Macaca fascicularis: one gene and its partners. The protein of the gene in region 1 interacts with the protein of each later gene in a pairwise test. Links are inferred from orthologs where the notes say so. Each region holds a gene or a part of one and is shown in the gene's direction. Other genes may lie near its edges. The genes, in order: RAD54B, RIBC2 and ATPAF2.

The links.
Region 2: the proteins of RAD54B (region 1) and RIBC2 interact in a two-hybrid assay, tested with the Homo sapiens proteins (2 studies listed by BioGRID and IntAct). The two-hybrid records come from large-scale screens. The link is inferred for Macaca fascicularis from reciprocal best matches to the Homo sapiens genes RAD54B and RIBC2.
Region 3: the proteins of RAD54B (region 1) and ATPAF2 interact in a two-hybrid assay, tested with the Homo sapiens proteins (2 studies listed by BioGRID). The two-hybrid records come from large-scale screens. The link is inferred for Macaca fascicularis from reciprocal best matches to the Homo sapiens genes RAD54B and ATPAF2.

What each region holds. Positions count from the first base shown.
Region 1 is NC_088382.1:104,117,270-104,128,245, reverse strand, and holds the start of RAD54B (DNA repair and recombination protein RAD54B), read left to right. Parts: upstream 1-4,687; 5' UTR 4,688-4,802; intron 4,803-10,976. UniProt on the Homo sapiens protein: Involved in DNA repair and mitotic recombination. May play an active role in recombination processes in concert with other members of the RAD52 epistasis group.
Region 2 is NC_088384.1:6,158,509-6,168,865, reverse strand, and holds part of RIBC2 (RIB43A-like with coiled-coils protein 2), read left to right. Parts: intron 1-700; coding exon 701-819; intron 820-5,533; coding exon 5,534-5,761; intron 5,762-10,357. UniProt on the Homo sapiens protein: Microtubule inner protein (MIP) part of the dynein-decorated doublet microtubules (DMTs) in cilia axoneme, which is required for motile cilia beating.
Region 3 is NC_088390.1:18,129,667-18,138,830, reverse strand, and holds the end of ATPAF2 (ATP synthase mitochondrial F1 complex assembly factor 2), read left to right. Parts: intron 1-1,475; exon of another isoform or gene 1,476-1,505; coding exon of another isoform or gene 1,506-1,525; coding exon 1,526-1,653; intron 1,654-2,132; coding exon 2,133-2,248; intron 2,249-4,863; coding exon 4,864-5,001; 3' UTR 5,002-5,287; downstream 5,288-9,164. Other genes in the region: DRC3 (dynein regulatory complex subunit 3), read right to left, coding at 7,166-7,279, 7,953-8,084. UniProt on the Homo sapiens protein: Plays a role in the assembly of the F1 component of the mitochondrial ATP synthase (ATPase).

The sequences.
Region 1 (10,976 bases):
GAAAGTATAGGTGATGGGTACTTTTTCAATTTGATGGCGAACTGAAGAGAGATTGCTAAAAACTATATGTATCAAAGCCATCTGCTCCTCAACTGTTTACATATAATGATTGACTTTGAATATGTGGCCTTAGACTGTATCTGCAGAGTCTAGTTATGTTTTTTGGGCTTCCACACTTTTGACTACAGACTTCTTTGAAATTCCATTTCTTATTATTGTGTTCTAAGTTCTTATGTCTAATTTCACATCTGAGATGTTCTGTCGCCAGGCTGGAGTGCAGTGGCACAACCTCGGCTCACTGCAACCTCTGCCTCCCGGGTTCAAGCGATTCTCCTGTCTCAGCCTCCTGAGTAGCTGGGATTACAGGTGCCCGCCACCATGTCTGGCTAATTTTTGTATTTTTAGTAGGGACGAAGTTTCACCATGTTGACCAGGCTGGTCTCAAACTCCTGACCTCAGATGATCCACATGCCTCGGCCTCCCAAAGTGCTGGGAGCCACTGCGCCCAGCCACATATTCTTGAGTTTAAAATGGAATAAGGTTTTGAGGTATTCATTTAAAAAAAAAAAAGCCGAATTACATGATTTTCATTTTAAAGCAATAGACAAAACAAAAATATTAGTTAAATAAAAATTCTTAAACTTTTTTTCAAGTTAATAAATCTCAACAAGTTATTTGAGTTGACAAACTGTGTAGTATTCCCCACGGAAAGTCTCTTGGTTTGCTAAGAGATACTTTGGACATATTTTGGTAAAGCTTTGGTCCTCTTTAAGTCTGCAGCTGCTTTCAGTTTCCTCTAGGAAGGATGCTTTTAGATGTTCTGGTAATCCTGGAATGGTAGAATTGCTACTTACTCTGATGAAACATTTCACCTGGCCCTTCCAGAACAAGTTAGGGTCCTCTGGAATCACTGTTCTCTTTAAGCTACATAAGGAATCAAAAATAATTCACCTGAAAGCCCAAGTCATATAAAATAAATATTATCCACAACTGCTCTATTACCATGTGAAACTTATTAATTTATTTTTTTACTGAAGCGAAGTCTCACTATGTTGCTCAGGCTGGTCCTGAACTCAAGCTATCCTACTGCCTCAGCCTGCCAAGTAGCTGGGATTACAGGCACGCACAAGCACACCCAGCTACCATGTGAAACTTTAAAAAACTGTTCAATAATTTTCCCTCCAAAACTTATTTGGATGAAAAAGTAAGAAATTAGTAACGAATAGAGCTAGGTACTAATCCTGCCTTTGCCATTCATTAACTTCTGTGTGATATGAACAAATCACTAGTGGGCATTATTTTCTCATATTCTGAAACATGAAATAGAAGTAGGAATGTGTGTAGTGGGGGAGGTGAATATGAATCAAAAGAGAAATTTACTATAGATACTTATTATAAAGTAAAAAATAACAGTCCAAAATTGATCAAGTGTAATGGCTAGGAGACAAGTGGGATCACAACTGAAAAAGAAGGGTAATCAGACTAAAAGGAGGTGTCCAAATTATTTTTCTCCTCCCCACTCCTCCCACCCCAGCTATAATGTTGATGCTGCTTAACCAATTAACTAACATTACCAATAAGTAATAACCAATTAATGTGTTAGTTCAACATTAAAAGTCTCTGTAACTAACACATTAATGTGTTATTACAACCAATAAGTAATAACCAATTAATGTGTTAGTTCAACATTAAAAGTCTCTGTAACTAACACATTAATGTGTTATTACAACCAATAAGTAATAACCAATTAATGTGTTAGTTACAGAGACTTTTACCTCCAATATTTGTTACTGTTAACCCCAAGGCACACTATAATGTCCTTATAAAAATGTTTAGGGTGATATACTTGGCATTTAATGATTGAAGAAGGAAATGAAATGAATACCAATATATTGGTGTATACCAATATATTCATTTCCAAAGATATATGTATCCACATAATTGGACAAAGACTGATTTTTTCTTTTGAGACAGGGTTTCATTCATGTTGCCCAGGCTGGTTTTGGACTCCTAGACTCAAGCATTTCTCCCCACTCGGCCTCCCAAAGTGCTAGCATTACAGGCATGAGCTGCCACACCTAGGCCTAAATTGCATTTTATTAGTTTCCTTTAGAGATAATCCAAAATCAGACTATACACTTCTGCAGAAAAGTACTTTTGAACTACACATTATGGTGTCCTTTGCATTACCAAGTACTTCATGTTTAGTATTTGTTGAATAACGGAAATCTTGTTTTTTAAACTTCTTTTTCTTTTTTTTTTTTGAGATGGAGTCTCGCTCTGTTGCCCAGGTTGGAGAGTGCAATGGCACGATCTTGCCTCACTGCAACCTCCGCCTCCTGGGTTCAAGCAATTCTTCTGCCTCAGCCTGCCCGGTATCTGGGATTACAGGCACCTACCACCATGCTCAGCTAATTTTTGTATTTTTAGTAGAGACAGGGTTTCACCATGTTCACCAGGCTAGTCTTGAACTCCTGACCTCAAGTGATCTGTCCGCCTTGGCCTCCCAAACTGCTGGGATTACAGGCGTGAGCCACCATGCCTGGTCTTTTTAAACTTTTTACTTGAACTAATGTTTGACTTGCAGAACACTTGCAAAAACAGAACAGAGAGTTCATGTGTACACTTCTTTCAGCTTTCTTTCTTTTCTTAAGAGGCAGTGTCTCACTATGTTGCCCAGGCTGGTCTTTTCTCAAACTCCTGGCCTCAAGCAATCCTCCTGCCTTGGCCTCCAAATAAATATAAACAAATATTTATTGAGTGCAGTCTGTAAGACTAGTACTGTTCTGGCTGGGCGCAGTGGCTCACGCCTGTAATCTCAGCACTTTGGGAGGCCGAGGTGGGTGGATCATGAGGTCAGGAGTTTGAGACCAGCCTGGCCAATATGGTGAAACCCCGTCTCTACCAAAAATACAAAAAAATTAGCCGGGCATGGAGGTTCATGCCTGTAGTCCCAGCTGCTTGGGAGGCTGAGGCAGAAGAATCACTTTAACCCAGGAGGCAGAGGTTGCAGTGAGTCAAGATCATGCCACTGCACTCCAGTTGGGTGACAGAGTGAGACTCCGTCTCAAAAAACAAAACAAAACAAAGCAAAAAAGACTAGTACTGTTCTAAACACATGGGTGCAGCAGAGAATAAAGCAAAGATCTTGCCCTCATGTAGCTTATATTCTGAGAGTAGTAGAAAAACAATAAACAAGTAAGTGTATGTTAGGGAATGGAAAGTGTGATGAAAATCTATAAAACAGGGTAAGGGAGATAGAAGATGAGACAAGAGAGTAACACACTGTCAGATAAGGCCCTTTGACTACTTGATATGTGAGTAATGATCTGAAGTGAACAAGCAAACCAGACGCAAATCTGCAAGAGGAATGTCCCGGCTACCTTTAGCCAATCTGTTTTAGATTTTCTGAACTTCCCAGATGATATTAAGGTAGGCTGCAGACACTACGAGAGCTAGCTTGTTTTCTGGTTACCCTTACTCTTTACGTGTCCCAGTCCAAAGACGAGGGGGATGCAGTTTACCAAGGTGCCCAACCTTGGTAGGTCCCCATTTCAAATTCTTGTAACCCTGGCTCCGGGAGCTGCCAAAAGCACAACTCAACCTATGAGGTGCTCTTTATGACTGGAAAAAGTCCCCAGGATAAAAGCTCCTTAAGGAGCACATTCTTCTTTTTTTTTGAAACAGGGTCTCTCTCTGCCACCCAGGCTGGAGTGCAGTGGCGCCATCTCAGTTCACTGCAGCCTCCACCTCCCAGGTTCAAGCGATTCTCCCGCTTTAGTCTGCTGAGTAGCTGGGACTACAGGCGCGCCCCACCAAAACCAGCTATATTTTTAGTAGAGACCGGGTTTCACCATGTTGGCCTGGCTAGTCTCGAACTCCTGACCTCAAGTGATCCGCCCCCCTCGGCCTCCCAAAATTCTGGGATTACAGGCTTGAGCCACCGCTCCCAGCCTCAAATTACTCTTTTAAATAGCTGTACCTATTTACACTCCTACCAGCAGCCCAAGAGTTCTCACTGTTTCACATCTTCATTTCACCCTTGATATTTTTTAGCTTTTACTTTTTGTCAAACTGTTGGATAAAACTCAGTAAACAACCTTTAGCCATTCTCTATCCTTTCAGATTAGCCTTTCTAATACCATTTTTCAGGGATAGCTGACTGTGTCATCGCCTAGCACTTAGAAGGTGCTAAGCAAATACTCATTGAATGATGTAACTTTCCTATTTAATATCCTTTAATGCTTTTCCAAGTCCGGGGGCGGCTTCCCTTTTCTGAGAGCCTAATAATCACGTATTCATTTCTATATTCCCAGAACCTAACAAAGTTTGAAAATTATCCTGCAGGCAACACTAGGTCAATGTTTTTTCGGATTAATTAATAACCAATAGGATATCGTATACCTCTGCGATGCACGCATTTCTATTATCGCACACACCGAATCATACCTTATTTATTACTTATCCACGCAGATGGTGAGATCTGTAGCCTCGGCATCTACACTGTGTCTGAAAGTAGGCACGAAACCGGTATTTTTTTAATTGAACCGTAAACTTGAATCAAACTTGGAAGCCTTTAAAGGGAAACGCAAAGGTACATGCGCAGTGATGCAATAGGGTCGTCCAATCAGAGTAGGGCAGGACTGGACAGTGCAGCGGCTAGGTAGTGCGCACGCGCACCGGGCTCGTCCGCGATTGGCTTCGCCGAGGCGGGAGCCTTGAGCTTCTCCGGTGGCGAGGGAACCGCTGGTTACCAGAAGTGCTTCTTTGCAGGGCCAGTGGTTTCTGTCAGATTTTCGCCGGTGCGTCCTGGAGGGGGAAGCTCGGGAGGCCGCGACAGCCTGTAGGCTCGTGCGGGACAAAGCAGGGAGTGGCGCCGGAGCAGGCCTCCGAGGGAGGAGGGAGGGAAGGAGGCAGGAGCGACCGAAGTGGCCTCCTGCGGGCCTGCAACTTTGGTCTGAAGTGCGAGGGACGCCCTGGCTGCTGGCCCCGGGGGGCTAGGAGCGAAGGGCGGGTGGTGGGGGTGTAGAGGTGTGCGTTTGTGTGCGAGGGATGGTTGTGGGCTGTGGCCCCTGGGGCCGCCCCTGCTGTCGCTTTGCTCAGGCTTCTGTGGCGTTTGGGTCTCTCCCTCACTCCTGCACTGGGAAGCCCCATCCCCAGCAACAGGGGGTGAAGGCTCCGCGAACGCCCTGGAGAGTGTCGGTACGCCTTCTTTAGGGACTTTTACCTCCTCGCTGGTCAGGTTTTTCTTGTATTTCCTTAAAGTCTTTTAATCGATTACCTTATGAAAGATTTTCTAGGTAGGTACAGATGCTTCTCGACTTACTACGGAGTTGAAAATATCCTAAGTCGAAAATGGATTTAAAACAGCTAACCTACTGAGTATTAAAGCTTGGCCTAGCCTAGTTTTGTTATCAAAAAAATTAATTTTCAGCGGTTTATTTTAGATTTGGGAGTACATGTGCAGGTTTGTTGCATCGGTATATTACGTGGTGCTGAGGTTTGGATACGATTGATCCTGTCACCCAGGTAGTGAGCATAGTACCCAATAGTTTTTGAACCCTTGCTCCTCCTTTCCTCCCCCTTCTAGTTGTCGCCACTGTCTATTATTGCCATCTTTATGTTCATGAATGCCCAGTGTTTAGCTCCCATTTATAAGTGAGAACATGCAATATTTGATTTTCTGTTTCTGCTTTAATTCGCTTTGGGTAATAGCCTCCAGCTGCACCCATGTTGCTGTAAAGGACATGATTTCATGCCTACCTTAAACAAACTCAGAACACTTACCTTAATCTACAGTTGGGCAAAATCATGACCACAGACAGTTATGTGGTTACTTGCACAGTTTCTACTAAATGCTTATGGCTTTCTTAAAAGTTGAAGAATTCTAAGTGAAACCGTCCTAAATTAGGAACCATCTGTATAGCCGGAGTCTCAAAGGAGCAACTTAAGGCATGAAGTGAGATAATTACTACTTAATGTAGTTGGAAGTCGAAAAGCAGAAACAGCAGGGAAAGACTGTTGCTGGTTCTTGGTAGAGTTGGTTTACTTACATTCTTGCATCCCAGACGTTTGATGGTTGCACATAACTCTCTTTAAAGCCCAGACGAACCCAAAGATTCTGGTCATTGTCCTGTATGTTGAACTACCCCTTTTCTATCTCCCTCACAGGACCTTCGTCATTTCTATTCTCCAATAATACTAATTATAGATAGTAATATTACAGATAACATTGAGTGCTTATGTGTCAAGTTTTGTTTTAAGTGCTTTACATATTTCATTTAATCCTCCCAACAGTCCGGTGTGTAAGTATGATTATGGTACCCCCTCTTAAAGATGAGGAAACTGAGACACATGGAGCCTAAGTAAACTGTGCAAGACCATTGGGAAGTGTCAGTATTTATATTCAGGCATTTGCTTTCAAAGTTGTGTTCTTATTTACCACAGTGTAGTGCCAAGTACTTGTGGCTATCTGGTGTATTGCAGTTGTCAGCCTGGCCTTACCATTTTACTTGGAAGGACTGAAGCTAACAGGTGTTACAGAAGTTGTAGCATCACATCAGGGCTACCAAATGGCTTTATTTCTAGGACCTGGGAAAAGGGCTCAGACAGCACTAATTAATTTATTAATTTATTATGGACAGGACAACATGAACATACAGAACTAGTTTAAAAAGCTATAAGCGGTACTCTTTTGGGGGGAAATGTACTGATCTCTGCATTTTACTTTGAAATGCATCAACAAATTAAATGTCTTGATGGGTGCCTAAGGTCATATGTAAATAGCACAGTTTGGATTCTAGCCAGGCAGCCTGGCTGGCTCCAGAGTCAGTCTGTTTTCTTAATCACTGCTCTGTGATGATGCTTGTATGCTTGCATTATCATTTTTATTAGTTTACAAAATAGGAAGGTTGAAAAATCAGAAATCATGTATTAGATGTAGAAGGGTTTAGGGTAGTAATTCTTCACATTTAGTGTTGAAAGAAATTTTAGCATCTAGTTCATTCTTTATTTTATAAATGAGAAAATTGGTGTCTAGAGAGTTAAATAGCTTCCCCAAAGTCAAGCATCCCTGAAATAGCAGAATCTGAACTACACTCTGGTTTCCTTCATTTCTACTGTTGATGTTTCTAACTACTGTATTTTTTTAAGTGTTCCTTTTGAAAAAGTGTCAGAATTTTCACAGTATTAAAGGGGAGTCTGATTAATGTAGAGAACAGAATGATGTGGACATCATATTTTTATTAATGCTATCTAGAATTTATTAGTTTAAGAAGGCTCATTATCTTATTTCAGTTGAACTATAGTCACTAAAATCTTTAGTTTTAAATTTCAGCTTCTAATGTTCTATTTCATTTGACCATTAAGTAACTGAGTCTAAATGCAAGGCCTAACATCCATGTCCTCTTGTGACAGTTGCCATTAATCAATTTCAAACTTGTGTCAATTATATATTTAGAGACCTGTAGTATTCTGCTTACCCATTATAAAAAGGAAATTAGTTTAATGAAGTTATTTTGGCATGACTTGTTTGGCCAGAATTTGTATTTACTTCTGGCATTGGCAAATACTGCTTCTAAAGCAGTCAAAAACCATCTGTTTCATAATTTGCTCTAAGATTAAAGATTATACTAATAGAGATCTATTTTGTTGTTGAATAAGAAATGGAAGAGAGTGACCTCTACTACTCATTCCTCAAACTATGTAAAGGCTGGTTATATATCAAATATTTACATGTTTCATCATTTTAACATTGATGAAATTAGGAAATGTCTAACCATCAATGATAGTGTATCATAGTTTAATTGGCTACACTTTTTTTCTTGGATACATAAAATAATGGTACATCTTACAACTAAAAAAATTTTTATTTTTAAAATATTTACTTTTAAACATTTCTTTTATATGGACTAACAACCAAGAGTATATCTTACAATTGATGGCATTTTAGATTTGATGAAATATGGTAATTTAAAAAATCTAATTCATGATACTTTTCCCTATTACAAAGGTAATATTTTCATTGTAAAAAATTTGAAATATACAGAAAATAACTCAGAATAGAATAAAAATTACTGGTTATTCTAACCAGACCTAGAAATAATTACGGTTAATATTGTGGCATGTGTTTTTCTAGTTTTTAAAAAACAATTGTATATTTTAATATATGACATATATATCTACTTTATAGCAGTATAATTTACAGTGTGCAGTTAGATGTGTACATTTTGATGTTTTGATATACAGATGTATATATACTCCTGTAACCACACTACAATCTTATATAGATTATTTCTGTCACTTCAAACAAGTTCTCTCATGCTCGTTTGCTTTCTAGTCTTTTAAATGTACATATACGCGTTATCCTTTTTCTTTTTCTTTTCTTTTTAAAAATTAGAATGAGACTGGACATGTTTTGTCACCATTTTTCCTTTGATTTATCAAAAAATATTTCTCATGTCATTAAACATTTTTTTAAAGTGTTGTTCCCTGCCCCCTCCCCGCCCCAATTAATGGTATCGTTCACATAACAAATACTGAACTCCTTCTGCGTATTTGGTACTGGCAATATAGTGATGAATTGTATGTAAGATTTCATGCCTGAGTTAATAGCTCAGGGGGAATGATAGGGCAAATTTCATTGCAGTATGAAAAGTGCTTGGGTAGTGCATATGCAGAAAGGTCCTCCAGTCCAGTCTTTGGGAGGAGATGAAGAGGGCTCATGGTTAAGACTTCTAGAGGATAAGGTAGAATTAATCAGGCAAAGAAAAGTCGGAAAAAGCATTCCCAACATTATATAAGAGAAAGTTTGTTCAAAGCCTAGAGAAAAAGAGAACATGGCTAGCTTGGGGAATAGTACTGACTCAATTTTGGTGGTATATGAAGACAGTGTGTTCTGTTGTGTGGGTGTACCATAATTTATCTTGTACTTCATTACAGACATTCTTTTTCCTTTTTCCCCCTACTGTAATTAATACTAGCAGGATTATTGTTTTTTCTTTCTTTGTTTTCTTTGAGACAGAGTCTCGCTCTGTCACCCAGGCTGGAGTACAGTGGTGCAGTCTCGGCTCACTGCAACCTCTGCCTCCCAGGTTCAAGCGATGCTCATGCTTCAGCCTTCTGAGTAGCTGAGATAACAGGCATGTACCACCACACTTGGCTAATTTTTTTTTTTAGACGAAGTTTCGCTCTAGTTGCCCAGGCTGGAGTGCAGTGGCGCTATCTCAGCTCACCACAACCTCTACCTCCTGGGTTCAAGTGATTCTCCTGCCTCAGCCTCCCGAGTAGCTGGGATTACAGGCACGCACCACCACGCCTGGCTAATTTTGTATTTTTAATAGAAACAGGGTTTCTCCATGTTGGTCAGTTGGTCTTGAACTCCTCACCTCACGTGATCTGCTCAGCTTAGCCTCCCAAAGTACTGGGATTACAGGTGTGAGCCACTGCACGCGGCCTCAAATTTTTATATTTTTAGTAGAGACGGGGTTTCGCCATGTTGGCCTGACTGGTCTCAAACTCCCGACCTCAGGTGATCCACCTGCCTTGGCCTCCTGAAGTGCTGGGATTACACTCGAGCCACTGTGTCCTGCCCAGCTGATTATTCTTATATATGGTTACTTAGTATTATCTCTGATAGTTCCTTAGGTTAAGTTGCCAGAATTGGAATTTCTGGGTGAAACAGATAACGTTGGTAGTCATGTTCATCCTTGCTGATGGCTTATGTTAAATAGTGTTTTGTGGTATTGTTTTGAATTGGAGTACTTGCTACTATCCATTGCAGAAACATGATGTATGTATGTAATGTCCTTGTTTTCTGTCTGTTCCCCTATCCAGTCCTCATAGAAATAAGATTGAGCAAAAGTTGGGAAACCTGGTTCTAGTCTCTTGATTTATATTTTTAAAAATTCCACTGTTTTCAAATGAAATAGGATAGTAAAAACAAATTGAATTATAAAAATATCTTTTAAATTATCAGATTTCATTCATTCAAAATATTTGTTAGTGATGGTAATGTATCTGTCACTGTTGCCAGACACATTATAGTGATTACTGGTGGAGAAAACAAGCATGAGATTGCTACCCTCATGTGGTTTATGGATTAGTGGAATAGAAAAAAAGCAACATGTTTGATATTTGTATGTGAATTGTATTTCCTTATATTTTGAAATTTTTATTTAAATTGCTTTAAAGAAGATACCATGATTATACTTAAATTTTTGATAAATTGACATATACTTAAATTTACACCATTTGTATTAGTCTGTTCTCACACTGCTAATAAAAACATACTTGAGACTGGGTAATTTAAGGAAAGAGGTTTAATGGACTCACAGTTCCACATGACTGGGGAGGCCTCACAATTATGGCAGAAGGCAAAGGAGAAGCAAGCCACATCTTACATGGGAGCAGGCAAGAGAGTCTGTGCAGGGGAACTCCCATTTATAAAATCATAGGATCCCGTGAGACTTACTCACTACCATGAGAATAGGCCCTGGCCTTGACGTGGGGATTATTACAGTTCAAGGTGAGATTGGGGTAGGGTTACAGCCAAACCATATCACCGTTCAATTTAAATCTTAAATTATTTTCTTTTTTTTTTTTTTTTTGAGACGGAGTCTTGCTCTGTGCCCCAGGCTGGAGTGCAGTGGCGCGATCTGGGCTCACTGCAAGCTCCGCCTCCCCGGGTTCACGCCATTCTCCTGCCTCAGCCTCCCGAGTAGCTGGGACTACAGGCGCCCACAACCGCGCCCGGCTAATTTTTTGTATTTTTAGTAGAGACGGGGTTTCACCGTGGTCTCGATCTCCTGACCTTGTGATCCGCCCGCCTCGGCCTCCCAAAGTGCTGGGATTACAGGCGTGAGCCACCGCGCCCGGCCTAAAATCTTAAATTATTTTCAATAGCCCTTGATGAAAACTAAAATCTTACTAGCTATTGAACTTGTTTTCTTTTTCTTTAGAACAAAAAAAAACAAGAG
Region 2 (10,357 bases), on another chromosome or scaffold:
CGAGACTCCGTCTCAAATAATAATAATAATAATAATTCTGCGAAGGAAGTGTGTCCTGCTTCACAGGTATGGACACAGGCTCAGCGAGGCTAAGTAATAGTTGAGGTTAACAGCTAGGAAATATCTGAGCTGGGATGTGAGCCTGCTCTCTTTGACTCCAAATCTTCACATTTTTCTGTTTGGACCTTCTACCTTGACCCCTTCACCTCCTCCTCTTCCTCTTTCTCTTCCTCACTGGCCTAACCAAGTCCTCCTGTCACCCCACAATATCTGTCATCTGGCCCCACTTCCTCCGTAGAGTCCTGTGGGGTTTCTTGTTCTTTCACTTCTGGATTCCACTGAATTCTTTCCCAAAACCTCTGCATCTGCTCCCAACCCACTTTGTTTGTCCTGCAGGTCTCAAACGTCATTTCCTGGGGCTGTAGAGTACCTCTTGCCCACTGTAAGGATGTAGCTGCCTCCGGATAGAGCAGGACAGCAAGGGGCACACCACCAGCCTGTCCCAGGACCCCAGCATAGTGGTGATCACTAGCACTCCTCTGGGAGCTTGACTCTCCCACAGCCTCAGAGGCAGGTCCTTTCGTTATTGTTCCTGTCATGGGTAAGGACGTGGTAGGAGGCAAAGGCATGAAAGGCCACATGTCAGAGGGAAGGCGCTCCCGTGGCCAGGTTGGTCTGATTGCTTCTTGCTTCCTTTCAGAGGCCCTCTACACAGAGACAAGGCTGCAGTTTGATGAGGCAGCCAAGCACCTACAGAAGCTGGAAGGCACCACCAGAAAGGCGGTTTGTGCATCTGTGAAAGACTTCAACAAGAGCCAGGTATACGTACTCCGAGACCCCGGGCTCGATGACCGGAGGGGAGGATGAGCCCACTACGGCTTCCCAAGGCTCTCTGGCCTCCCTGGGATCCCAGTCTCTGCCTGCTTCCCTGCTCACATCACCAGCCCTGACAGAGACCCTGATGGGCTGCCTGATTATGCCTGATTATGGAGAAGGATGAGACCCAGTCCTGTCCCTTAGCTCTGAATCTTGGAGGGAAACCCGCCAAACTAGCCATGTAACCTGGGGAAGTCAGCTCACCTTTCTACACCTCAGTTTCTTCTACTGTAACATAAGGATGGTGACATTACCCTAGACTGTTACCACCTAGCTCTGCTCCAATGGCTGGTGCTGGTTTCCGTTCTTCCCACCTCTCAGACTTCCCCTTTACCGAGAACAGCTACTGGGCTGCTCACCATTGGCGGGGATGATGAAGATCATGATGAGCTCGGACAATGGGGCCTCCTGAGAGCTCCTGCCTCCCCTCTAAACTCTGCCTCCCCTCCTCCCACACACTCCCCTCCCCTCCTCCCACACACTCCCCTCCCCTCCAATCTGATGCTGAAGTTGCTGAAGTAGGTTCTTCTTTTTGTTTCTTTGGGTTTTTTTATTTTTGAGACGGGGTCTCACTCCATCGCCCAGGCTGAAGTGTAGTGGCACGATCACGGCTCGCTGCAGCCTCGACCTCCCAGGCTCAGGTGATCCCCCCACCTCAGCCATCCAAGTAGCCAGGACTACAGGCACGCGCCACCGTGCCCGGCTAATTTTTGTATATTTTTGTAGAGACAGGGTTTTGCCATGTTGCCCAGGCTGGTCTCAAACTCCTGAGCCCAAGCGATCCTCCCGCCTCAGCCTCGCAAAGTGCTGGGATTACCACATCTGGCCCTCTTTTCCTTTTGGAAATTAGAGCTCATCCCGGTATCTCTCCCTCCCCTGACAAGGTTTTCTTTTCTTTTTTTTTTTTTTTTTTTTTTGAGACGGAGTCTTGCTCTGTCGCCCAGGCTGGAGTGCAGTGGCCGGATCTCAGCTCACTGCAAGCTCCGCCTCCCGGGTTCACGCCATTCTCCTGCCTCAGCCTCCCGAGTAGCTGGGACTACAGGCGCCCGCCACCTCGCCCGGCTAGTTTTTTGTATTTTTTAGTAGGGACGGGGTTTCACCGTGTTAACCAGGATGGTCTCGATCTCCCGACCTCGTGATCCGCCCGTCTCGGCCTCCCAAAGTGCTGGGATTACAGGCTTGAGCCACTGCGCCCGGCCAAGGTTTTTTTTTCAAATGCAATTCTATTATCTGGTGGGTGGGGACTTTGCCTGGGTTCGTTGATCAGGTTCGCTTGTCAACTAGAACTATGGTCCCCAAAGAAGGCTGTGCAGGATCTGTGGGAGAGCAGATACCAGAGCCCTGCTTCATATTATTTTTAACCTCATCGCTTTTGATTTCTATGTTCATATGTAGTTATAAGCATGTGCTGTCATTAAAATATAGTAGTACCACACTGTGAACTAAATATATTGGAGATACAAGCTCAAAACTGTCCTCCTGGTGGGGGCAGGCAGTCAAAAATCCTAGAGAGGCTGGACCAGACACCAGAGAATGTGAGTTTTCAACACAGGGGAGAGGAATGAGGAGAGCCAACTGGGTGCTGGGGAGGACCAAAGGGCAAAGCAAGACACCTGAAGTCCGAGCTCACCACCCAGTGAGCTGCAAAGGTCTTACAGATCATCCATCCCTGCCCTTCATTTTACAGAGGGCGCCCAAAGACGGGGGTCTGTTCGCTCCAGTCCCCACTGCAAGTGAATGGCAGGATGCGACCCTTGACAATTAGTCCACTGTTGGCTGGTGATCCGCTCATTCGTTTATGGAAGCGATGATGATGATGATGATGATGATAATTCATTCATTCATTCATCAGTTCAACCAGTGTTTATGGAGCCCTTCCTGCTGGGCTTTGGGTTAGCTTTTGCTAAACCCTATTGTCTCCTTCATCAGTTGATTCATTCCTGTATTCTAGAAGATGTTGAATGGGCGTCTACAGCCTGCCTGGTATTCTCAGCCCCCAGCTCCTCATGTGGATGCCGCGAGGCAGCGCCATCACAAACACTCCTGCACTGGGGAGAGCCGCCCTCCGGCTTCTGCAGCTCTGTTCCTAACTAGAACTGGGCTTTTTGATTAACCTGGGATATTAGTACAAGGTTCTGGATAACTATCCTCAAAAGAAAAGCCCAAGAAGGCCGGTCCAGTTCAACAGGAAGGACACACTGAGGGCCTCCAGTTCTTGGGCTGGGGCTCACTTCGTCAGAGAGGCGTCGTGTGTCAGTTGTGGCATCAGGGTCTGACACACAGGCTCTGGAGCCTGACCACACGGGTGCGAGACCACGCTCTGCCCTGCAGCCTTGGGCAGGCCACCCACTGCCTCGGTTTGATCATCTGCAGAATGAGGAAGCGATAACGCCCTTCTGTGTCAGTGAGAATGTGCTTACCCTTTTGCTGGGGTAAGAAGCACCCACCAGTCTCAGTGGCTTAAACAGAAAGTTGGTGTTCCATGCATGCTCCCTGCCCACCGTGGACTGGCTGTGAGGCCTGCTCCTCGGCATCCTCACTTTGGAGCCCAGGCCCTGGGACTGAGTGACTGCCAGCTGGAGGATCCTGGCAGCACAGGAGGGAAGGAATGTGGCTAGTCCCCCCAGGCATCCTCCCAGGAGCAGTACTGCTGCCCCTGCTCACATTTCACTAATGAAAGCAAGCCACATGGCCACGCTCACTCTAAGTGGGCAGGACACGTAGTTCTGCCCCGTGCCCAGGAAGAACACTGTTGATAGCGAATGGTCAGCAGTATTGGCCATCACACCTGCTAGTAAGGTGGCTGCGAGGACTCACATGGTAATGCACGTGACAGGTCAGGACAGTTTGGCACATAATCAGGACTCAGCAGATGATGGTCATTATTATTATTGTTATTATTATTAGAGACCAAGTCTCACTCTGTCGCCCAGGCTGGAGTGCAGTGGTGCCGTCTCAGCTCACTGCAACATCTGCCTCCCAGGTTCAAGTGATTCTCCTGCCTCAGCCTCCTAAGTAGCTGGGATTACAGGTACACTCCACCACACCTGACTAATTTTTTTTTTTTTTTTTGTATTTTTACTAGAGATGGGGTTTCACCATGTTGGTCACACTGGTCTTGAACTCCTGACCTCAGGTGATCCACCTGGTTGACTATTATTTTTAATTTTAGCAACAATTAGCTGCTCTTAGTAGTCACTGTGTTCAACAGCCCTCCCACAGAGGCATGGTTAATCCCACTTAACTGACAAAGAAACAGGCTCAGGCCCAGGCATGGTGGCTCATGTATGTAATCTCAACGCTTTGGGAAGCTGAGGCAAGAGGATCACTTGAGCTCAGGAGTTCATGACTAGACCGGGCAATACAGTGGGACTTTGTCTCTAAAATTCTTTTTTCTAATTAGTCGGGTGTGGTGGCACGGCCCTATAGTCCCAGCTGTTTGAGACACTGAGGTAGGAGAATCACTCAAGCCTGGGAGGTGGAGGCTGCAGTGAGCTGTGAGTGCACCACTACACTCCAGCCTGGGCAACAGAGTGAAACCCTGTCTTAAAAAACAGAAAGAGACTGGGCACAGTGGCTCATGCTTGTAATCCCAGCACTTTGGGAGGCCGAGATGGGCAAATCACGAGGTCAGGAGTTTGAGACCAGCCTGGCCAACATGGTGAAACCCCGTCTCTACTAAAAATACAAAAAATCATCTGGGCGTTGTGGCAGAGGCCTGTAATCCCACCTACTCGGGAGGCTGAGGTAGGAGAATCACTTGAACGTGGCAGGTGGAGGTTGCAGTGAGTTGAGATTGCGTCACTGCACTCTGACAGAGCGAGACTCCATCTCAAAAAAAAAAAAAAAAAAAGGAGGCTTGGAAGGATGAGCTGACTTTCTTAGGGAGTACTCAGTGGCAAGTCCAGTATTTGAAGTTGGGCCTGTCTAGCTACAAAGTGTGTGCTGTGTGACTCCATCAAGCTGGCCTCCGGTGAGCACCTGTGGAATGCCAGCTCCTTGCAAACTGCCCTGTCCGTGTGTTACTGAGGACAACTGTTATCCCAAGTACATATCTCCTAAAAGCCATCTTCCGACTTTACAGAGAAATGACTGCAGCCCAGAGAGGGGAGGTGACTTGGTGCAGGTCACCCAGCCAGAAACCCCCCAGGGAATCAAACAGAAATGAGACCTGGAATTGCTTTGTACTGGGCACTGCGGCTCAGGACCACTGAAGTGACAGTGCATTTTCTACCATTTAGAAGTCACCACTGTTGTAAATCACTCTGTTGAGTGTTCTTTGCAGCCCACAGATGTCCAAGGGTTGCCAGGGGCACAGAGCTGTGCCTTGGTTGGGGCCAGGCCCATGTGGGGTGGCGGCCTAATCCAAGGAGAGAGCTCCCTGCCTTGGCAAGTTCGTGCAAGACCCAGAGCTCTTATGCACACACCCAACAGGTGGTGATCCCCCGAGTCCAGCCCACCCGCCCAGCAGTGTGCAGACAGCCAGGGGTTCAAGGACCCTCCCGCATCCGTGCCTGACAAGTCTCCCCTCCACCGAACTCCTGCTGCCCTTAGCATATCCTCCCCTCAAGGGCCCCCAGTGAGGTTTGCTGGCCTGGGTGTCAGAATACCCCTGGGGTCACTCGGACCATCTTCTTTAATGTCTTCACCTGCTTAGGCCATTGAGTCAGTGGAAAGGAAAAAGCGAGAGAAAAAGCAAGAACAAGAGGACAACTTGACTGAGATCACCAACCTGCTGCGTGGGGACCTGCTCTCCGAGAACCCGCAGCAGGCAGCCAGCTCCTTCGGGCCCCACCGTGTGGTCCCCGACCGCTGGAAGGGCATGACGCAGGAGCAGCTGGAGCAGATCCGCCTCGTCCAGAAGCAGCAAGTCCAGGAGAAGCTGGTGGCTGCCCCGCCCCTTTTCCCGAGCCCGCAGAGCTGCCTTCCAGGCACAAATGCAGTTGTAGCAGGCCTTGTGCTCTGCCCTAGGACCTGCCCTCAAGGAATTTCCCTTCTAATCGGGGGGAAGACAAGAGCCAGATAGTCTCACACCCATATGATGTGGCATCAGGAGTAGGCATGCCAAGAAAGAGAACAGTAGACTGGGAAGACACTGAAGCAAAGACCCAAAAGAGGGTAGGGAGGGAGCCATGTGTCTGCCTGGGAAAAGGGTGACTGGGCAGGGCGAGCTGCAAGGGCACAGGCCTTGAGGCAGGACCCTGCCGGACCTGCTCAGAGAAGAGCGAGGAGCCTGGTGGCTGGAGTGGAGTGAGGAGAGGGGCAGGTGCTGAGGCCTCAGAGGCAGAGTGTCAATGTCCTGGCAGGCCACTGGGGAGGACTTTGGCCTCTTCTGTGACTGAGATGGGGAACTCTGCAGGGTTTTGGGCAGAGGAGTGACAGGATCTGACTTAGGTTGAACAGGACCCCCAGCATGATCCTCCTGTATTGAGGGCGAACACTATAGGGGCTGAAGGGGAAGGAAGGAGATCTCCAGGAAGGCCTCTGCAGTGTTCACAGTGAGAGGCGATGCTGGCTGGGACCACGGGGCAGGCAGTGGGGTTGCTGAGCAATGGTCAGATTCTGGATCTATGTTGAAGGTACAGTTGACAATATCGGATGAATGTTTGGGTGGGGATGTATGAAGGAGAGGAGTTAAAGGCAACTCCAGGTCCTGTGGCCTGAGCAACTAGGCGGATGGAATTGGCTTTTCCAGAGATAGGGAAGATGGTGGGAGGAGCAGGTTGATGGGGTGGGAGGGGTGGAAATCAAAGTTACAATTTTGGATATATTAAGTGTGCAAAGTTCATTAGAGATCTGTATCTATTAGGATTAGATTTGCCTGAATGTGGCAGAAAACCACAAATAACAGCATCTTAAACAAAATAGAACTTTCTCTCTTGCAAGTAAATCCTCAGGAAAACAGTTCAGGGCTAGTATGGCAGCTCTGTGGTCATTGACTGATGTCCTGCTATCCTTGGCTCCTGGCTCTCACTTCTTAGTGGACGATGGCTGCTCGAGCACCAGCCATCACAGGCATAGTCCAGCTACCAGGAAGGAGGAATGGAGAACACTCTAAGGAGATTTCCACTTACATTTCACTGGACAACACTTAGTCACAAGGTTGCCCCTAACTCTAAAAAAGTCAAGGAAATGTGTTTATTCCAAGCAGTGAAGTGCTGGTGATTCTTTTACTAAGGAAGAATGGAAAATGGTTACTGGGAGACAAGTAGTATTTTCTGCCACAGCCTCCAATTAAAGCCCAGGAGGCAGCTGGATATGTAACACAGGGCTCAGAACAAGGTCTGGGCCAGAGGCATAAATGTGAGTCGTCACCTACAGAGAGTATGTATGCATGCATTTTGAGACAGAGTCTCACTCTATCACCCAGGCTGGAGTGCAGTTGTGCAATCTTGGCCCACTGCAACCTCTGCCTCCCAAGTTCAAGTGAATCTCCTGCCTCAGCCTCCCCAGTAACTGGGATTACAGGCATGCACCACCACATCCAGCTGATTTTTATATTTTTAGTAGAGGTAGGGTATCATCATGTTGGCCAGGCTGGTCTCAAACTCCTGATCTCAAATAATCCTCCTACCTCAGCCTCCCAAAGTGCTGGGATTACAGGCGTAAGCCACCATGCCCGGCACTACAGAGAGTATTTAAAGCTGAGGACTGAGTCCTGCTCCCCACTCAGAACCCCTCTTCTCACCACCACTATTTATAAAGAGCAAAGGAATCTGAGAAGGGGCCGCCAGGGAGGTGGACAGATGCAAGCCGTGGTTTCCTGGAGGCCAAGTGAGGAAAGGTGTTTGGGAGGGAAGGAGAGGAGAACCCCTGGGTCAAACGCTGCTGCCAGGCTGCAGGCTAAACGCTGGATCCGGCACCATGGCAGTCACCGGGGACCCCGTCAGGAAGGAGCACATTTGGCAGAGGACTGGGGCCTCCAGCCTAGTGGGCTCAAGAGAGAACAGGCAGGAAACAAATGGAGATGGCACGTGTAGACAGCACTTACAAGGCGTTTGCTATAAAGGGTGCAGAGAAATGGAGTGGGAGCTGGTGGGGGCCGTGGGGTGAAGGGAAGGTTTTTGTTTGTCTTGATTGTAGAAATAACAGCATGCTTGTCATTCAACCGGAGTGATGCAGTAGAGGGGGCATTGATGCCTGAGGAGACACTTGCTGGAGCCATGTCCCTGGGCTGCAGAGAGCAAGGGACATGGAGTGCTAGCTGAGGGCTTGGTGTGGCCTGGGAGTTTGGAGCCGTCATTGGAGTCACGGGAAGGGGCGTCAGGGCAGGAGCTTGTGGGTGAACAGAAATGAGACCTGAAATTGATTTGTTCTGGGGACTGTGGCTCAGGACCACTGAAGTGACCGTCATTTTCTACCTTTTAGAAGTGGAAGTGAGCAGGGTTGGGGGGAGTTAATGTAAATGGTCATCTAGAAGAACTGGAAAGGGAACAGTCTGGAGGAAGGGGACAGGCTGGTCGGACAGTGCCCAGGGCCCACTGGGGGGTCATAGTCATAACCTTGAAGTGACCCCAGAGAGTGCTGTCGGGGTGTCCCCACCCATGCTTAGCCGGATTCATCGTGGTCACTGCCTGCCTGACCAAGTGAAGAACTCAGGGGACCGAGGGTAGCGGCCTGGGAGCGTCTTCCATGAGACTAACCAGGGGGCCAGAGAGAGATTGGAAAAGTGGCGGCCAGCGGACTGGAGGTCACACTTCGCGGGGGGCATCATCATTGGAATCAGGGACTTGGAGAGAGTGGAAGAGGCGGGTTAGAGCAGTGAGACTGTGGGGGCAGCGTTATTGGTAATAACAAGGGAAGGGTGGAGGGTCCCAAAGGGAGGGTCTCCGGACCTGCAGCATCGGCTGGGTGGGGCCCGCAGTCTGTGATTTCAAAAGCCCCCAGGGGATTCTGATGCCCACTCAGGTTTGAGACCCACTGGTAGGGTGTGCCCAGCGGGTGAGAAGGTGAAGCCGGGACTAGGTCTTCGGAGAGGAGGCGAGAGAACTGAGCAGCTGGGGACAGGAGAGGGCTGTCTGTGTATGCTGAAACCACTGAGAATCCTGGCTGGAGAGGTCTGGAGAGGGCCTCAAACCTGCAGAGTGAGTGGGAGAGGCCAGGCTGGGCTGGCAGGTGCATAGTTGGTGTGAGCTTCTGATTTGGTGGGTCTGGGGAGGAGGAGGGACAGTGGCAGTGGTGTGGACCAGGGCATGAGGAGTCGGGGCGGCAGCTCGCCCACCTGCTTCCCTGCAGGCCAGAGGTGCATGTGTGTGGGAGGCTGCAGTAGGGCCGGGACCTGCGCAGGCCGCAGGTGTGAGGTTCAGGATGTAGTCTAAGGTGGAAAGGGTGCCGGGGCTGGAATTGGGGTCCAGGGCCCTGCTCTGTGCTTCAGGACGCAGCTCCGCCTCGACTGTCTGGCACAGAAGATCAGCCATCCTGAAAGCAGCATTGCTGTCTAGTTTTCATTTTTTATAGAAAATTAAGAAGACGCCGGGCGCGGTGGCTCAAGCCTGTAATCCCAGCACTTTGGGAGGCCGAGACGGGCGGATCACGAGGTCAGGAGATCGAGACCATCCTGGCTAACACGGTGAAACCCCGTCTCTACTAAAAATACAAAAAACTAGCCGGGTGAGGTGGCGGGCGCCTGTAGTCCCAGCTACACGGGAGGCTGAGGCAGGAGAATGGCGTAAACCCGGGAGGCGGAGCTTGCAGTGAGCTGAGATCCGGCCACTGCACTCCAGCCTGGGCGACAGAGCGAGACTCCGTCTCAACAAAAAAAAAAAAAAAAAAAAAAAGAAAATTAAGAAGACAGAAAAGCACAAAGGGGGAAAAACCTCCCCACTCAGAAATACTGCCCCTTCCTTTCTGGGTCCTTGCCTCCATCCCCTTCTGTGCGTGGAGGTAACTGGGAAGGCTGGAATCTCGCAGCAAACAGCTGGGCTGTCTGCTTTGCTCTTAGCCCGGCTGACTGTTTCCCATGCCATTCCCTGTTTGCCACCAAGCAGCTCTTGTGATGACCCCGGGCTCCTGACAGCAGCCTGGCTTTACAGCGGGGGACACTGAGGTTCGTGAGAGCAGGTGACTTGCCTCGTGGGTGGCAAAGCCCACCAGCCTGCCCTCAGTCCCAGGATGGGGCCGCCCAGACCCCCGTGCCACTCACCGGACACTTATCCTTGCTTATTTGGTGGGAGGAGGCTCTGCCCTAAAAATGGCAAAAGTGGGCAAAGGGGACCCGTCTTCAGCCCTAACAAAGCTGACAACACGTGGGCAAGTGCCCCTCCCTCCACACAAATCCAGCGTCCTCTTCCAAGGCCCCGGAGTTTTCACAGTGAGGAGGGCAGTGAGGAATGAGCTGAAACACAGCAACTCAGGGGTCGGGGTGCCCCTCTGGGACCATGAGCTTCTTGTCACCGGGTGAGGCTATGGTGTGTGCATGTTCTGGAAGCTGCCCAGGTGATCTGCATTCAGTTGTGGGACAGCTGGCCATGGCTCTTGGAGG
Region 3 (9,164 bases), on another chromosome or scaffold:
TGGGAGGCAGAGCTTGCAGTGAGCCAAGATCACGCCACTGCACTCCAGCTTGGGCGACAGATCGAGACTCCCTCTCAAAAAAAAAAAAGGTATCGTCTCTTGAAGCCAGCACATGTCCCATAGACCACAGACCCAAAACAATGCCTTATGTAAGGTAGAGGCTTGATGAATGTTTGAAAAAATAAGACGGGCGTGGTGCCTCACGCCTGTAATCCCAGCACTTTGGGAGACTGAGGGAGGCGGATCACTTGAGGTCAGGAGTTTGAGACCAGCCTGGCCAACAAGGTGAAACCTCATCTCTACTAAAAATACAAAAATTAGTCAGGCGTGATGGCAGGCGCCTATAATCCCAGCTACTCAGGAGGCTGAAACAGGAGAATGACTTGAACCTGGGAGGCGAAGGTCGCAGTGAGCCGAGATCGCGCCACTGCACTCCAGCCTGGGGGAGAGAGCAAGAAAGACTTCATCTCAAAACAAAAAAAAAAAGTTTGAAAAAATGACTGCTGACTGGTCATGGTGGCTCATGGCTGTAATCCCAACACTTTGGGAGGCCAAAGTGGGCAGATTGCTTGAGTCCAGGCATTTGAGACCAGCTCGAGCAACATGGTGAAACCCTGTCTCTACAAAAAATTAGCTAGGTGTGGTGGCACATGCCTGTAGTCCCAGCTACTTGGGAGACTGAGATGGGAGGATCGCTTGAGCCTGAGAGGTTGAGACTGCAGTGAGTCAAGATCATGCCAGCACACTCCAGCTTCGGTGACAGAACGAGACCGTGTTTCAATAAAAAAGAAGAAAACCTCCATGATATATGACATATATAAACATTTTAAGGAAAACCATTTTAAGTATTGTTTTTAACTTTTATATGGCCTCAAATGTGAAAAACTTTTTAAAGAGATATAAAAGGCACATGGCCTTTTGATGGAGATTCCAGGTGAATGAATGAACATTTCAAGCAGCTGCATATAACTGAGCCCCAGCTCACATGACTCAGGAACTATCCCTTCATTCAGCACAGTTTCTTGGTCCTCTAAGTTTGCTCTTGAGGGACAGAAAATGAGATCGGAGCCAGGGGCAGTTTCTCACACCTGTAATCCCGGCACTTTGGGAGGCCAAGGCGGGTGAATCACCAGGTCAAGAGATCGAGACCATACTGGCCAACATGGTGAAACCCTGTCTCTACTAAAAATACAATAAATTAGCCGGGTGTGGTGGTGGGCGCCTGTAGTCCCAGCTACTCGGAGGTTGAGGCAGGAGAATGGCGTGAACCCGGGAGGTGGAGCTGGCAGTGAGCCGAGATCGCGCCACTGCACTCTAACCTGGGCGACAGAGTGAGACTCTGTCTCAAAGAAAAAAAAAAAAGAAAATCAGGTCAGGAGGCCACTGACCATGGTGGCAGTTGCTCCTGGAGGCCTCAAGACTAGCTCCTTGGCCAATGCACACACATGCTCTGAAGCTTAGGCCTTTGTTTTTAGTCAAAAGGTGGGCTGCTCTTGAGCTACAGCATGACAGAGACACGCCGAAGCCCTTTTCCTTTCAGATACGGCGTGGAGATCAACTCCTCCACCAGCATAATGGGACCCAGCATCCCCGCCAAGACGCGGGAGGTGCTCGTCAGCCACCTGGCATCTTACAACACGTGGGCTTTACAAGGTATGTAGAGAGTTTCCTGTGGGCTTGGCAGGTGGCTGTGAAGGCCATCAGTATCCGAAGCCTGTGCTTGCCCCTCCTCAGGTGCTGTGAGTAGAGAGGCACAGGGGCGTTCTGGGCTAGCTGAGTGTGGAGGCTGGCTGGCTCTGATGCTCTAGGCTCACACTTTTCCACCTTTGACTCTCCAGCGGAAGTCTTGAGTTCAATCTCATTGCCCTGGCTTGGGTCATATGTCCATCCATGAACCAATCACTAGACTGGTGGGGGAAGCTCTGATTTGCCAAGTTCGGGTCATGTGTCTCACTGGGTAAGAGCAGAGGAGGATGGGAAAACCAGAGTGCTCTTTCAGAAGAGTGAGACAATCGCTGGATGGCTCTTTGCACCACTCGCTTCTGTTCTCTGCTAGGGCTGCTGGGACTCACAAGGGGCAGGTTGTGGCAGCTGCCCTGTTTTGGATCCTGACTTGGCTTGTGTCCCTGCAGGGATTGAGTTTGTAGCTGCCCAGCTCAAGTCCCTGGTGCTGACCTTGGGCCTGATTGACCTGCACCTGACAGTGGAGCAGGCTGTGCTGCTGTCACGCCTGGAGGAGGAGTACCAGGTGAGGAGCAGCACCTCAGGTCCCGCCTTCCCCTTCCTAGTTCAGACTCGCTTTGGGGGAACAGCTAACCCATCTGAAATACAGTTATGCATAGTTGGCTTTCATTACTTTTGTGTACATGCAGAAATCAAAATCAAGGACCAGCAGAAGTATTGTCAAGTAGGCCTGGCGTGGTGGTTCACACTTGTATCCTAGCACTTTGGGTGGCCGAGGAGGGTGGATCATTTGAGGTCAGGAGTTTGAGACCAGCTTGGGCAACGTGGCAAAACTCCATCTCTACAAAAATACAAAAATTTAGCGCCTGTAGTCCCAGCTACTTGGGAAGCTGACGTGGGAGGATTGCTTAAACCTGGGAGGTGGAGGTTGCAGTGAGCCAAGATTGTGCCACTGCATTCTAGTCTGGGTGAAAAAGTGAGACCCTGTCTCAAAAAAAAAAAGTATTGTAAGATAATAACATTTAAAAAATAACAGTAAGTGCTACCGCTGTGTTCCTGCACTGTATCCATCTCACCTCCTCTCAGCAGCCTGGGCAGGTAGGAGCTGTGGTTATCTCTGTTTTACACAGGAGGAAACTGAGGTGCAAGGTTGCACCTCTGGAAAATGTGCCAGCTAGGGCTTGAAGCCAGGTCTGGTGATTTTAGGCCAAGACTGTCAGGCCTCACTCTGCACAAGGAGGTTCACGGGTGGATAAAGACCATCTGGGCTTGATAAAGCCTGCAGAACAGGCCCTGCCAAGATGACTGAGAACCCGTTTGTGCTCCTACATCAGCTAAGCCTTCATACCCTGACATTTTATCTGGCTGGCAGAGGAGCATAGGGGCAGCTGCTGTTTGTACACAAGTTTTGATTTAGTGGGCTCAGAATTAAGGTTTTGCTACAGTATGGTTTGCATTTTTTAACTCTGAAAATTATGGCCATCTTTGCAGTTATTCCACCAACCTCAGAAGGTTAATTGCTATTATGAATTGGTCCCTAGTATGGTAAAAAAAACAAAAAAAAAGCTTTTTGTGATGTATTTCCCTAGTTCTTATAGTCTTCTGCTCAGAAAAATGCCAGGGAAAAAAACTATTTTTGTATAACAAAGTAGGCCTGCTACTATTCTCTGGATGTCAGAACCGATTACATAGGAAGGGGGTGACTTGTAGGGCTGGTGGGAAGCCAGTCTGGGCACTGCTTCTGACTATGGGACCCAAGCCAGGCCATCATTCTCTGAACTTTGGTTTCGATCCTCTACAAACAGAGGAATAACCTGAATTATGTATGTGATGGTATACAATGAAAGTATGGAATACTCTTCAGATGACTTATTACAATTGTACAGTTTGGGACCAGGCAGCCCAGAAGTTCAAATAGCTTGTGTAGCATGGCAGATTCTGAGTTCCTGGATGAGCTGGGGCGGCCAGGCCAGGCCTCTTGGGCAACTAGCCAGGGAGGAGCCAGCAGGGTCTGGTTGGAGTTACACTGTCTGGACAGCCACACCGTGTGTCTGAGGGTTCCTCCCTCTTGTTTTTAGAGCTCCAGACCCATCCTGGCTAACATGGTGAAACCCCGTCTCTACTAAAAATACAAAAAACTAGCCGGGCGAGGTGGCGGGCGCCTGTAGTCCCAGCTACTTGGGAGGCTGAGGCAGGAGAATGGCGTAAACCCGGGAGGCGGAGCTTGCAGTGAGCTGAGATCCGGCCACTGCACTCCAGCCTGGGCGACAGAGCGAGACTCCGTCTCAAAAAAAAAAAAAAAAGAGCTCCAGACAGAGAATCTGCAACGTGTCCCCAGTGTGCAGAGCAGAGGCATCTGTAGTTCTGTGACTACCACAAGAGTTAGAGTTGAAGCCACTGCATGGCCTTGCTTGATTTAGTTATTCCACCCACATGGGGCTCGGGGTGCACTTGTAGCCCAGCATGGCAAGGCAACTTGCAGAGGCTGTCCGTTCACAGGCTTCCCGGGAGGAAGTGTAGGAGAAGGGATGGCACATAAGTCAGGCCTCCTCAAAGAAGTCACATGGGTGGTTCTGGTACCCAGCCTGCTCAGTGGTGGGTGGGCAGCTACTGGCCCTGGGCCTGGACTGTACTTCTTCTAGACCATCCATGCCACAGAAAGCACAGGTGCCTGCTCTGGCTCCCTGAGTGGTTGTGTGTGTGTGTATGTGTGTGTGTGTGGTGCTCTTGAGACAGGGTGTTGCTGTGTTGCCCAGGTTGGAGTGCAGCGGTATGATCTTGGCTCACTGCAGCCTCAACCTCCTGGGCTCAAAGCAGTCCTCCTACCTCAACCTCTCAAGTAGCTGGGACTATAGGTGCACCCCCACCACACCCAGCTAATTTTTAAAACTTTTTGTAGAGATGAGGTTTCACCATATTTGCCCAGGCTGATCTTGAACTCCTGGGTTCAAGCAGTCTTCCTGCCTTGGCCTCCCAGAGTGCTGGGATTACAGGCGTGAGCCACTGTGCCTGGCCCACCTCGGTGTTCTTACCTGCCGCCTCCCTCTAGGCATGTCTCGTGTTTTGGCAAGATCCAAACCTGTTGCCCTCAGCCGAGCTATTGGAATGGAATGTGGCTTTGGCCAGGAGGCAGCCAGGCACTGGCCACTCACCCAGCAACTTGTCTTGTCTGTCCCTCAGATCCAGAAGTGGGGCAACATTGAGTGGGCCCATGACTACGAGCTGCAGGAGCTGCGGGCCCGCACCGCTGCCGGCACCCTCTTCATCCATCTCTGCTCCGAGAGCACCACAGTCAAGCACAAGCTCCTGAACGAGTGAGGCCTGGGCAGCACACACTCAGCAGGATAGAGGCAGCGCAGCCACAGCTCCCCCAACCTTCAGGGCTCCTCAGCCTGTGGGGCTGACTTACTTGACTTTTGGGGCCTCGGCCTCAGCATCACCCTGAGATTTCCCTGAAACACAGTGCGCTAGTGCGACTGTCCGGAGGTCAGCCTGATTTCAAACCAGGTGCCCCTGGCCTGGTCAGCAATGAATGTGGGAGATGAATTGTACAACTAACTTTCTCTCAACCCTGATTTTATTAAATATTTCTCCACCCTGGAAATGTGCTGAGCCCTGTTTTCACGTGCACTTCTGCACTTCTCTATTCTTCCTGTTTTGTCTAGGTTCCAGAGGGTTAAACAGCTTATCTCCCATGGCATGTTTGGATATCTGCTGCCTGTGGTTGGGAACCTTGTGCTGGGGAAACAGTCATGTCATCCACAGACAACTCTATTTGTGTTCTTCAGCCTCAACTTGAAGGCTTTTTTTGGCTGGCTTTTAATCAATCTTTTGAAATGATCGTGGTTTAAGCTGGTTGTTTCTATTTGTTCCTACTGTTCTAAAACAAGTGATTTACTCTAGAAAGTAGAAAATGGACAGGCTTGGCGAGGTCACTTGATGTGCATGTTTCCGCTCATCTCCCACCCAGGAGTCCCAGGGGTCCTCCCGACATAGCCACCTCTAATGTCCCAGGAGGCAGGTGGTGCTGTCTGGTGTCACGCCAGTAAGAGGGCAGTGGGGATCCCGAGTGTGGTTCTTAGGCAGACAGGCTGTCTCAGTCCTGTGTCCTTGCCAGCCTGAGTAAGGTAATGGCATCAACCCTGTTCACACGGCACTGATCACATGCTGGGTGCCTCTCCATGCTTCCCACGCACTGTCTCCCTGAACTGTTCCTCGAAGGCACTGTGAGGTACTATCACAGATGACACCAGGGCTGCGGGGGTGTGGTGGAGCTGGGATGCCCCGCCTGTGCTCTGCTCTTCTGGAGGGTCCTCAGGTCCCTGTGACTAACCTCAGCCTTGGTGGGCAGGCCCAGGCCCCCACACTGTGGTGGGAGCTGCAGCCTCTCCTGCATTGCTGCCCCTCAGCACCCAGAGCAGAGAAGGTCTCAGCCCACACTGGCCTCCTTTTGCCTGTGGCCAGCAGCCTGCCTAGGCATGGCAGGAGAAACGGCAGGGGCACATGTCTGACTTTATGCCACAGCCAAGAGTCTAGCTGATGGCAGTGCCCTTGGGAGTCACTCTGTCAGCTGGCCTGGGACCGGCTGTTCATCTCAAACTCTTTCTCCTGTTCCTACATGAACATGAATTCTGATTTTTTTGTTTTTTGTTTTTGTTTTTGTTTTTGTTTTTCTTTTGAGACGGAGTCTTGCTCTGTCACCCAGGCTGGAGTGCAGTGGCCGGATCTCAGCTCACTGCAAGCTCCGCCTCCCGGGTTCACGGCATTCTCCTGCCTCAGCCTCCCGAGTAGCTGGGACTACAGGTGCCCGCCACCTCACCCGGCTAGTTTTTTGTATTTTTAGTAGTGACGGGGTTTCACCGGGTTAGCCAGGATGGTCTCGATCTCCTGACCTTGTGATCTGCCCGTCTCGGCCTCCCAAAGTGCTGGGATTACAGGCTTGAGCCACCGCGCCCGGCCTTTTTTTTTTTCTTTTTTTTGAGACAAAGTCTCGCTCTGCTGCCCAGGCTGGAGTGCAGTGGTGCAATCTTGGCTCACTGAGACCTCCACCTCCCAGGTTCAAGCGATTGTCCTGTCTCAGCCTCCTGAGTAGCTGGGATTACAGGCACACGCTACCATGTCCGGCTAATTTTTGTATTTTTAGTAGAGACGAGGTTTCATCATGTTGGTCAGGCTGGTCTTGAACTCCTGACCTCGTGATCTGCATGCCTCGGCCTCCCAAAGTGCTGGGATTACAGGCGTGAGCCACAGTGCCCAGCTGATTTTTTTTTTTTTTTTTAATGAATAGGGGAAATGTGACATGAGTCCTTTATTTTCTCTACTTTTGGAAGTTTTTCCAGGGGTGGGGCAAGAATGGTGTGGGGGATCGTAGTTGAGAGATGCCCAGCAACTCTCCTGAGGTGCTCGGTGAGGCATGTGCACTTCCTTCTCTTGGTTAGGGCTGGTGCTATGTTTTGAAGAAGCTCCTGTGGCTGACACTCATCTAGTCTAGGATGTCGCTATATTCCAGGTTGTCCAGTTCGCTCTGCATGTGGTCGATGTACTGATTGATCTCCTTTACGCGCTTACGGTTTCTCATGATCTCATCCTTGTGAATCTGAGGAGTGAAACCAAAGCCCGATACCTTACATCAGATCATTGGTTAATATCTTTCACTGAGTCCAGTTTGAGGGAAGGGGAAAATAGTTCCTTGAGATCTGCAAACCTCCGCATTTGCTTCGGCGCCTCCCCAGGTTCTGCTGATCTCTGTGTATTTGAAGTAGGAGTTAGGAAAATGATGAAGCCCATGGGTTTTGTGTTTTTTTTGAGATGGAGTCTTACTTTGTCACCCAGGCTGGAGTGCAGTGGCACGACCTTGGCTCACTGCAAGCTCCACCTCCTAGGTTCACGCCATTCTCCTGCTTCAGCCTCCCGAGTAGCTGGGACCATAGGCGCCCGCCACCATGCCCAGCTAATTTTTTGTATTTTTAGTAGAGATGGGGTTTCACCGTGTTAGCCAGGATGTTCTTGATCTCCTGACCTCGTGATCTGCCTGCCTCGGCCTCCCAAAGTGCTGGGATTACAGGCGTGAGCCACCGCGCCTGGCCGAAGCCCATGGGTTTTAAAGTCTCTGGGCAACCTTGTCTTCAGTGTGGAGTTCTATAATCCTTAATTTTATTTCTTCTTTCATTTCATTCCTAAATGAGAATTCTATCCGCTACCTAGGGAGGATTTCCATGTCAGCTAGAAAAATTTGTCCAACCTGCTAGGATGGCTTGGCATTGACTCACCTTGTCTACTAAACGTGTACACCAGGAGTTGATTCTGGTCACCAGCTCATCTTCTCGATTGTCAATCTTCAGAAGGTGGATGTCGTGCGATGCCCCGACAGCATTAACAATCGTATCTTTATCGACAAAAAGCTGGTGAGTGAAAAGAATCCAATGAGAACATGTGTGTCATTACACCCTGAACACAAAGAGAGCTGAATAGAAAAGGAGCATTTGGAAGTCCCCTGGCTGTGCAGGCCACACTCAGAGCAGAGCTCACCTTTGTATCAGCGCACTCTGCCGATTCATCTGTGAATTCATCTGTGACAGCTGCCTCCCCAACCGCGCAGGGCAGGTGTTGAGGGGAAAGGGCCAACCAGGGTGTTACTCTGCAGTCCCCGCTGGAAGCATGTTTCCTCCAGGGTGAAGGCAGATGGCTGCCCAGGGGGCACCTCACCCAGGACATCTGTTCTCACAATGCTTCTCTCTCAGTTACTCTCAAGTCTGACTTGCCCAAAACCTCTGCCTGCTGGGTGGAAGCATGAGACTGGCTGAGGGTCTTGGGGCTGCTCTGAAGACAGCAGGCCCTATAAACTGATGGGTGTTCACCCCACAGTTGTCTCTCCACTGCCACTCATGTCAACAAAACCAAACCATGGATTCCATCTGGGGTCTCCTTCTGCCTTCTCTTGTTCCTGACTTTGCTGTCTTGTAAAAAGTTGTTAGAAACAACCACCCTCTAATAGGCCTCACTGGTTCCAGGTGTTGACACTGTGGCTGTCGTTGCCTGGGATGGTGGAAATGCCCAGAGCAGGGCAAGGCCACCGAAGCACTCAGTAAGCAGTTGCTTCCACCTTGAAGCAGAGGCGTTTGGTAAGGAAGAGCACGTGAATGCTCTGTATTGCAGGGAGGACTTGCAAGTGGAATGTACACTTTTTGTTCTTCCCTGTAGTGGCAGTTAACGGTCTCTAAAACATGTTCTGTGGAATCTTATGTTAATATTTCTACCAAAAAAAGTATTCTTTGGTCAAACACATTTGGGAAAGCCAGCACCCCCAGGCCCCTCCTGAAGATTTGCAGAGCACAAAGTATTCCAGAGGCTCTACAAAGTCCTGTGGAAAATAAACCCTTTAAGCTTTGTCTCTCTTGGTTTTTCAACTTTTTTGGCCACAGACTTCAGAGTAATGCCTGTTAATGTCTTGTGGGATGCTGATTTTCCACAGAATCCCAGTG